2 linked regions of the Arabidopsis thaliana genome follow. The protein of the gene in region 2 interacts with the protein of the main gene of each other region in a pairwise test. Each region holds a gene or a part of one and is shown on either strand. Other genes may lie near its edges.

What was found. Proteins that work in one complex are often made in the same cells at the same time.
Region 1: the proteins of ZAR1 (region 2) and AT3G57750 interact in a two-hybrid assay, tested with the Arabidopsis thaliana proteins (one study listed by BioGRID).

What each region holds. Positions count from the first base shown.
Region 1 is NC_003074.8:21,391,997-21,395,831, reverse strand, and holds AT3G57750 (Protein kinase superfamily protein), read right to left. Parts: upstream 1,870-3,835; 5' UTR 1,783-1,869; coding exon 778-1,782; 3' UTR 544-777; downstream 1-543. Other genes in the region: AT3G57740 (Protein kinase superfamily protein), read right to left, coding at 2,088-3,176. UniProt on the Arabidopsis thaliana protein: Together with RPP13L4/ZAR1, involved in the ambient temperature (above 22 degrees Celsius)-sensitive aerial organ development.
Region 2 is NC_003074.8:18,934,006-18,939,328, reverse strand, and holds ZAR1 (HOPZ-ACTIVATED RESISTANCE 1), read right to left. Parts: upstream 3,656-5,323; 5' UTR 3,442-3,655; exon of another isoform or gene 3,214-3,441; 5' UTR 3,203-3,213; coding exon 644-3,202; 3' UTR 530-643; downstream 1-529. Other genes in the region: PLP3a (thioredoxin domain PLP3A-like protein), read left to right, coding at 1-59, 146-243, 329-438; AT3G50940 (P-loop containing nucleoside triphosphate hydrolases superfamily protein), read right to left, coding at 3,801-4,169, 4,257-5,243.

The DNA.
Region 1 (3,835 bases), 2.5 Mb from region 2:
ATCTCTAGCAAATAAAAACAATCCCACTTTCTCGATCTCTATTCTCCACAGAACAAGACTGGAACTTAGAAATATTTAACAGCAGTTGATAAGTTTTGTCACAATCAATGAAAGCTAATGAACACCAAAATGGAAAGAAAGATATGAAGACAAGAAATGGAATCCAACCTCTAATAATGTCTACGAAATTGAACTCAGAATTGAAATTGTACCTCAGAAGCGAAAACACCATGAATGCTGCAGAATAAGAGAAGGAAGGAAGCCATATCAAAATTGAATATAGTTTACTCTAAAAAGTGGGTATGGTCCACTAACCAAAGCGAGTAATGTAGTCGGCTAAAGAAATGTGTTGACTTTGAGGAGCACCAACATGAGACTAAATGTGTTCACACTGGAGGCAAAGTTACTATCTATTTGGCTTATCCACTATCCGAGAACGAAATCAATCAAGAAAATGATCTCAATATTTGACATCTGAGTTCTTGATAGAAAAATACAAAGACAGGTAGCAGCAAGAACTCAAACACATTGAGACATCATCACTAAAAAATTCACACTTAGGAGAGTAAAGTTACCCTCTCTGGCTGGCCAAAAAAATGTCTTTATTCGATAATGGAATTAATAAAAAATAAGCTCAATATATGACATTTGAGTTCTTGATAGTACAAGATAAAGACTAACACAAGAACTCAAACACATTGAGACATCACTAAAACTTCTCAGAAGTTATCATTCTTTCAAGAGGTATGAAGAAACTAACAAGACAAGGAAGACTAATCAAGAGAGTTTCTCAATCAATTTGAGCTCTTTAGCAACTTCAAGCATACCACTCACTGGATCTTCCTTCTTATATCTTACACATCTCAACGCTAATCTAAGAAACGCTTTAACCTGAGACCGTCTCAAAACCAAATCATCATCCCCACCCAAATCATTCCATATCTCTTTATCAACAATCTCATCAAACTCACCTTTCTCCATTACCTCAGACACATGATCATTAAGCGACATAGGAGCCTCATCTGGTCCATTAAACACAGCAGCTCTTCCAGACAACAAAACCAACATCACAACACCAAAGCTATAAATATCCACTTTCTCAGTAACTTTCATTGTCCAGTAATAGTCCGGATCAACAAAACCAATCACACCTTTCACATCATCTTCTACATACAATTCCCCCTCTGGTATTGCAACACAGAACCAGAAATCAGAAAGCTTCGCCGTCCAATTCTCATCAATGAAAATGTTCGTCGGATTTATATTCCGATGGACTATAGTCTCTGGAAACGCCGTGTGAAGATAAGTCACAGAACTAGCTATCTCTTTAGCAATCTTCAATCTCACTTTCCATGGTAAAACCACTCCACTTGAGAGTCCTCCGTCTCTATTAAGCGGTCCGTGTTCTGTGTATTCACAGACTAAAGCTGGAAGATCAAACTCCAAACAACAACCTATAAGCTTTAAAGCGTTCTTGTGTCCACTCATCTGAGAGGATACAGAGATATCTCTATACGCTTCTGTGAAGCTTGAGAGATTTTGACTCGACCATTTCTTGATTGAAACTTGTCTTTCTTCGATTACGCCTTTGTACCATATGAAGTATCCCCAGCTGGAGATAATTCGGCTTTCGGAGAAATTGTCGGTAGCTTTAAGGATCTGATCGGAGGAGAAGCAACGAATCGGATTGGTTTTGCCGTCGAAGGAAGCGATTAGCTCCTCTAATAGAATCCCTCCGTTCTTCAAATCCCATCTTCTCTTCTTCTTATTGTTCTTGCTCATCTCTATTGGAGAAAGTTCGAAACTTTGGCTTTTGCAAAGAAGCAAACTTGATTTGTGATAGTCAACTACTGAGTGGTCAAATTCCGACAAATTAGATATTATAATCTTATCCATGTCGTTTTAGTTATTAAATATTGACCCAATACATTTATAATATACATTCTACTCCCATAATTAGATATTTCAATTTGATCCACATCTTCTTAAATATTACACATTGAGCAAATAAGTTAACTGTAGCTACTCTGCCCACCAGTTAGCCCTCTTCATACAAATGCACACAATAAACTTTGTAAAAGTTTCCTCTATGTCCATCTCTCAATCCTTTTTAGTTCCTTGGCAACTTCCATCATCTTTGGAACATCACCTCTATGACCAGTACATCTGAGTGAGAGCATAAGGACTGCTTTCATTCGTCGTATCTTGTGTTCTTCGGTTTCATCATCACCCATACTTTCCAACATTTTTGGATCCAACATGTCAAAGATTCTTCCCTCTTCCACAAATTTGGATATCCTATCTGAAATCCTTAGATTCATTACATTTTGTTTGTCTTCAAACTCTTCAAATAGACTCTCATCTTCACTGCAACAACAATCAACCACTCCGTACGTTCTTGTGAAAAAGTTTTGCAACAACACTCCAAAGCTAAAAACATCGGTATACTCGGTGATCAATCCGGTCGCCGCGTAGTTATACTCTAGATAATCTAATGTTCCTTCTACTCTATCAGCATGAACCTTAACAAATGTCTCTCCTTCTGGAATTGCGATACAAAGACAAAAGTCACTTAGCTTTGCTGTCCCATTGGAATCCACGAAAATGTTAAAAGGTTGTATATCCGTATGAATCATAGTTCTTGACAACGCGGTGTGAAGGTAAGAAACCGCAATCGCAATCTCTTTGGCAATCTTTATTCGCATTCTCCACGGTAACAACATTTCCGGGTTTGGAGTATTGAATGGTATACGTTCTGCATACTCGCAAACTAAGACCGGATGCTCAAACTCAAGACAACATCCTAACAATTTGAGGAAATTCTTGTGACCACTAACCATTGATGAGACCGCTATGTCACGACAGATCTTTTCTAATGTATCAGATTTGTAGTAGTTCCATGTGGCTCTTTTGATCAAAACAGGACGGTTTTGGAGTATACCTCTGTACATAAAGTTGAACCGAATCACGAGATTGCTCTCGCTGAAGTTATCGGTGGCTTGGAGGATTTCTTCAGCAGAGAAGGTTTTGATTGGATTGGATTTGCCATTGCAAAGCTCGATGAGATCTTCTAAGAGTACCTTCCCGTTCTCTTGGAACCATCTTTGCCGTTGATTTGCTTCTGAGTTCTTCTTCTTCGACTTCTTCCTCCAACAACTCATCTTCTGATCATTCATCAATACACAGATGGATCAGTATCAAAGCCTCTCCCCAAGAAGAAACTTTTTTTTCGTGAAAAGATTAGAATGGTTCAAAGGAAAGTGTATGATTTGATTATAACATTTGAGGTCAAAGAAACACAAATAAAAACATTAAAAAAAACGGCTGTCTTTTGGGTCCCAGAACAATATTTAAAACAGTTCGGTCAAACTTATAAAGGTCAAGACTTTTTTTTTTTTTTTTTTTTGTTTCTGTTTGATTCTTGAGTTGGCACTGAGATGCTGCGAGGAGAGGAATGAAGACAGACCAAAGATGATTCTAAGCTTAATCCTCCTATAAGCATATATATATTTGAAATTTTGGCTTGAATGCTTTCTTTTTATAACCGATTTCTATTTTTGGCGGCAAAAATGAAATTTCTATATTACGACATGGGTTTCAAAATTGCAGACTCTCTGCTTCAGATTCAACACTACATTGTTCTTGTTTTTGACTAAGAGGCAACTGCTTAACATAACATGTAAAAATTGCAAAAGCATTTTGCTTATTTAGTTTTAGACACTATACAAAGAAATTTGCTTTAGTAGTAGACTTTATTTGGGTCGGACTTAAGACACTTTGACAAAGTTGCGATTTGAGTTCAATTCACAACAAATGCAAACTCACAAACTCTCAA
Region 2 (5,323 bases):
GCTCCTTTCTTTGTCACGAAGCTTGCAATAAAGACTTTGCCTTGCGTTGTGCTTTTCAGGTTTCGCCTCTTTCTATTCCTTCTTACATACAGGGTTTGTTGTTAGGTGTATACTCATAAAGTACGAGTTTCTTTACCATTCTTAGCAAGGGAGTTGCGATGGATAGGCTAGTTGGGTTCCAGGATCTGGGAACCAAGGACGATTTCACAACGAATAAACTAGAGAACGTTCTTCTTAAAAAGGGTATGAAGAACCTCGGTCCCACCTTTTTTTTATTATAACGGCCCAGTTAGAGAATTTTTGCTTAAAGAGTGCAAATCTTTAACAGGAATGCTCAGCAAGAAGAAGAAAGAGGAAGATGATGAAGACGCCGAATATCAAGAGAGCATACGGAGGTCTGTTAGGTCTTCAGAGAATCTGGACTCTGATTCTGACTGATCAAGCAGTTGACATCAAAGATCTGCCATTGCTGCTAGTCTCTGTTTTCCCTTTTTGCTCGTTTGTTATATGATTATTAGAAAAGAAAATTGCGATATGAAATCCAAACGGTCAAAGCAACATTACATTGTATCAAGGTATATGTAATACACCAACTTATTGTCACTGTTTAATAAACATTGATCTAGTTGCTTAAAACGTTTCATCAGGTTCTGTGCAATGGTGTTTTCATCCACACTCCGCCTCTAAAGCCAACATCTTCAATCGCGAAAGACTCTAGCTCTGGACACCAGTTTGCGGTCACGGTCCTCAGGTACGGCATTGACTGTTGCAGCACTTCCCAGTCCATGTCTAGGTCCGACAATGAACTTAACATTAAACCTTCAATTCTCCAGTGAGTATTCTCGTTTCCCCAGAATGGTTCCTGCATTTTCACCAAATTACCTGAACATATTGACATGTACCTCAACATCGGAAGCTTGTGAGGACTCAACCACGATGGACTCGACTTTCCAGGATAGAATTGTAGAGAAAGCTCATGGAGCTGGTGTGGAGGAGTAAGGGCGTCTATTTTGGTTATGAGATCATCGCCGTAGCTATCATAGCAGTTGATCGAAATGGACATCAGCTTGCTTAGGTTTATCAAAGAATCAAGCTCCTCCTCTTCTATCTGATCGCCACGAGTCAGAGAAAGACCAAGTTTCCGAAGGTTTGTGAGATTTTTCACTTCACTGAGCTTGCACCCATTGTTGGACCTGGCTGGCTTAAATCCCAACAGAACTTCGAGCTTCACGAGACTTCCGATACCCTTGGGGAAGCATTCAAGGGATCCACAGTTCGTCATGTCAAGTACAAGGAGTTTCTTGAACAAGACGATGCAAGGTTGAAGTTGTTTCAGATTCTGACAGTAGCTTGCGTCTAGAATCTGAAGGTTGTGGAGATCTTCCATGGAACGAGGAAACTGGATCAACGGATGTGTGTTGCTCAAACTAAGACATGCTAAGTGTTGAAGGCTTGCAATCTCATCCAAAATCTCAGACAGAGGAGCATCAAATATGGATTTCGAGATATCGAGAACCCGAAGATATTTGCAGTCTGTGAATTTCTTAGCTAAGTCTGAGTTGAGCTTGTTCACTTCACCTGTCTTAGTTGTTGACACTACGCCTCTCAGCTTATGGTTAACTTTGATCTGCTTCTCATCAAAGTTTCCACTAATCCCAAGGTGACGACAGTTGAGGCCTTCCGGGTTAGAGAACGAATCCTTCTTGGCTATATCGATCACCAAATCACGAACCATGTCATGAATCTTGCAAGTGATGATGGTTCCGCTATAGGTTTTGTCTACAACTTCTATTAGACACCTGTTTGTGAGCCCGGAAAAGCAGTCTTCTCCAGATTCAGTTGCAGATCTTCCGTTTCTCCACATGACAAAACCTTCTCCGATCCATCCATGTACTAGTTGTTGTTTTGGTATAACACAGTCTTCTGGATAGAGCGAAAGCGTGAGAATGCACGACTTAAGGTGGGAAGGGAGTTCATCGTAGCTCAACTGCAGAGAAGACATAACATTGTCAGTTTCAGAAGTGTTTCCTCTTAGCTCATCCTGAAAATGCTCTGCAATTCGTCTCCATTCATGATAGACATGGTCTTTGCACAGAAGTAACCCACCAACCGCTTTGATTGTCAAAGGCAAACCTTTGCATTTCGTTACAATCTCCTTGCCAACATCCTCTAGCTCGGGACGCTCACAAGTACCGTCATTTGCTGCAAATGCCACATTACAAAACAGCAGCCAACTGTTATCAGGACTAAGGAGCTCTGGACGGTGAGTCTTGTCGTCTCTCGCTTGCACCCTTTTCGCTACAGATTCCGACCTTGTGGTCACGATAACGCTACCTCCTTGTCCTCTAGGCAGTCCTTGGTAGATCTTGTCCCACCAGCTCAAATTCTTGTCCCATACATCGTCCATAACTATCAAGTACCTTTTCCCCAAAAGATACTGCTGGATTTTTCTCAGCAATGTTCCAATATCATCTCCAACACTCGCGTCCCCCAAGTTCCTCAATATGCTTCTCATGATCTGTTCTTCAGTAAAAGTCTGGGACACAGACACCCATATCCTTCTTTCGAAACGATGTTCGATCTCTTTGTCATTGAACACTTCTTGAGCGATTGTAGTTTTACCTAGCCCTCCCATCCCAACAAAGGCCATTATCAAAAGCTGGCTGTCGTTTGATCGAAAGAGCCACTCCTTGATTTTTCTTTTATCTCCTTCCAAACCAACCACCTGAGTATGATCATACACCGGAGAGCTCCACCGATCAGTTCCATTATCTCTTCCAACATTACTCGGCGTTATGAATTCGAAATAAGGCTCTACTTGACTCTTTATTTTCGTTATCCTCTCATTGATCTCTTGCAAACGTTTGCTTTTCTTGTACTGCAACGGAACCCGGGCAGGATGAAGCCGCGAAAGCCACGCATTTGATGACCTTTGCTCGTTCCCATCATCACCATCCGCGAGCTGACAATCCACAAGTATATCCTCAGCTTCGTAAACCAGTTCTCGTAAATCCGCAACAAGAGTACGCAACGTTTCATTAGTTCTCTTCTGCCTCTCTGCATCCTTGAGAAAAGACTGCATATATTTCAATTCGCTTTGCAAATCTTCCAACTGTTTTCGGTAGTCCGATACGGTTCGGCCTTTTTCTTCGAGGATGTTCAAGGTTTTCTCTAAAAACACTGTTACAACAGCGTCCACCATTTACTCAGACCCTGCAACTTCAAGAAATATCTCTAATTGGTAAACTATAACCAAGCAATAATTCAATCGGTTATGTGTATCATCACTAGATTGAACTTTCCAAAAATCAATCAACCAACGACTATAGAATCTCAATAACCAAAAGATTGGATTATTCTTTAACTAATCCATATCTTCTCAAGAAACATGTAGAATCCTAGAACATTGAAACAAATCTAACCAAAGTAAAGTAAACTTACAAGGTTGTGACTTAGCCTTAGCCGAGAAGGATCTGAAGCTTCAGATCTTTGGATTTTTTTAGCAAAACTTGTTTCAGAAAAATGAGCTTACATAGAGACTTTATCGAAATTGAAGTCAATGGTTTAACAAGTCAAGAGTCAACCTTACTCGTTTTCTTGGTTACTGCTGCCGACTACGAAACTTGTCTCAATCTACTTTAGAATCTTATCATTGAGTTTAGACATGTTCTGACCTCATAAAACAATATCCGCATTTCACTTAGGAAAAAAAAAAATGATTTCACTTTCTGTAACATTTTATAACCAATAATTGCATGATAGTGTTTAACAAAGAAACAAATAAAAGAACTAAATTTCTTCTAAGCTTTTGAATTATCTATTTGCTTCTTGGCTTTTAAGAACTCAACAAGTCCTTGGAGTACTTTATCCACAGAGTCACTCCTCATCAGTTGTTCAGCTACTTCTGCTGGTGTAACTTCAATTTCTCGGATAAATTCTTCAATCTGCTCGAAAAGTATATGATCTTGAATCTCGAGATAATTCGAAGCCAAAACCTTAAAAGCAGCTGGTGTGCAATACGACATGTGAATGTGCATGTCCATACGTCCTGGCCTCAACAATGCTGGATCCAATTTTTCTCTGTAGTTAGTCGTAAACACTATAATCCGCTCGTTACCACAACTTGACCATAGTCCGTCTACAAAATTCAATAGACCAGAGAGTGTGACCTGAAAATGACTAACCAAAACATTAGTAATGCTAATAAGCAAAAGATCACATAACAACATAACTGATAGTGAATCAAAATGCATCACCGTTTTATGTAACGGATCGTTGTTTTCTTGATCAGTAGACCGATCTTTTAACTCGATTGAACAATCTATATCTTCCACAACTAGAATGGAACGATTTGCAGTAGACATAAGTAACCTCCGTAGCTCAGCATTGTTGTTAAGTGATGTCAAGTCTAAGTCATAGATATCGAAGTTAAGATGATTAGCTATAGCTGCGATCAAGCTTGATTTTCCAGTACCGGGAGGACCATACAACAAATAACCTCTCTTCCAAGCTTTTCCAACTCTCCCGTAAAAGCCTTTCCGCTGCACGAATCGATCAAGATCCTCCACCAAGTTTTTCTTCACCTCGGGATCCAGAGCGAGAGTGCGAAACGTGGAAGGATGATCTAGAGTCACAGAGGTCCACTCCACGGAGTAAGAATCAACGGTGAAGATCTTCAATGTTTTAAACTTTTGTTTAATAGAAGCAGCTTGTTCCACAACAAACGGTAAATAAGATTCAAGAACCATGTTCTTGAACTTCTTTCGGAAACTAAGCTCGTAACTACGCACTTCTGATTTCAAAGTGGAGTTGAGATCTCTCGGGTTACGAAAATCCTTTTTATCGACATGGCGACATACAAGGATCCAACTAAGCTTGACGCCATCAAAAATATCAACAACTTCCTCATCACGTTCAACAGTAACACTATAATTGCTCTGTTTCTCAAGTTTGTTAACTTTGATTCTTCTAGTGGAATTAGATATCTTGGTGGAGAGATAAGCCTCTGCAGCTTCAAACACTTGGTTGTGTTCAAAACCTCCAAATTCTTCTATTACAGCTGTCATCTGATAAGAGAAGTAGCTGAAGAATCTGCGAAAGCCGTGAGAGATATATTCATGAACCTCGTTTGGCATGTAATCTTGAACCACTGATCGAGCTAGTATTGCGGCTGCAGCAACTGATGCAACCGCTGTGAGAGCTGTTTTGGCGGTGGCTAGATGAGATTCACTAGAGGAACTCATCTCCTTCAATCATCAAAAATAAAATAAATACATTCAAGTCGGTTCTCATAAATCAAAGAGACAAGAAACTAATCCAAAAA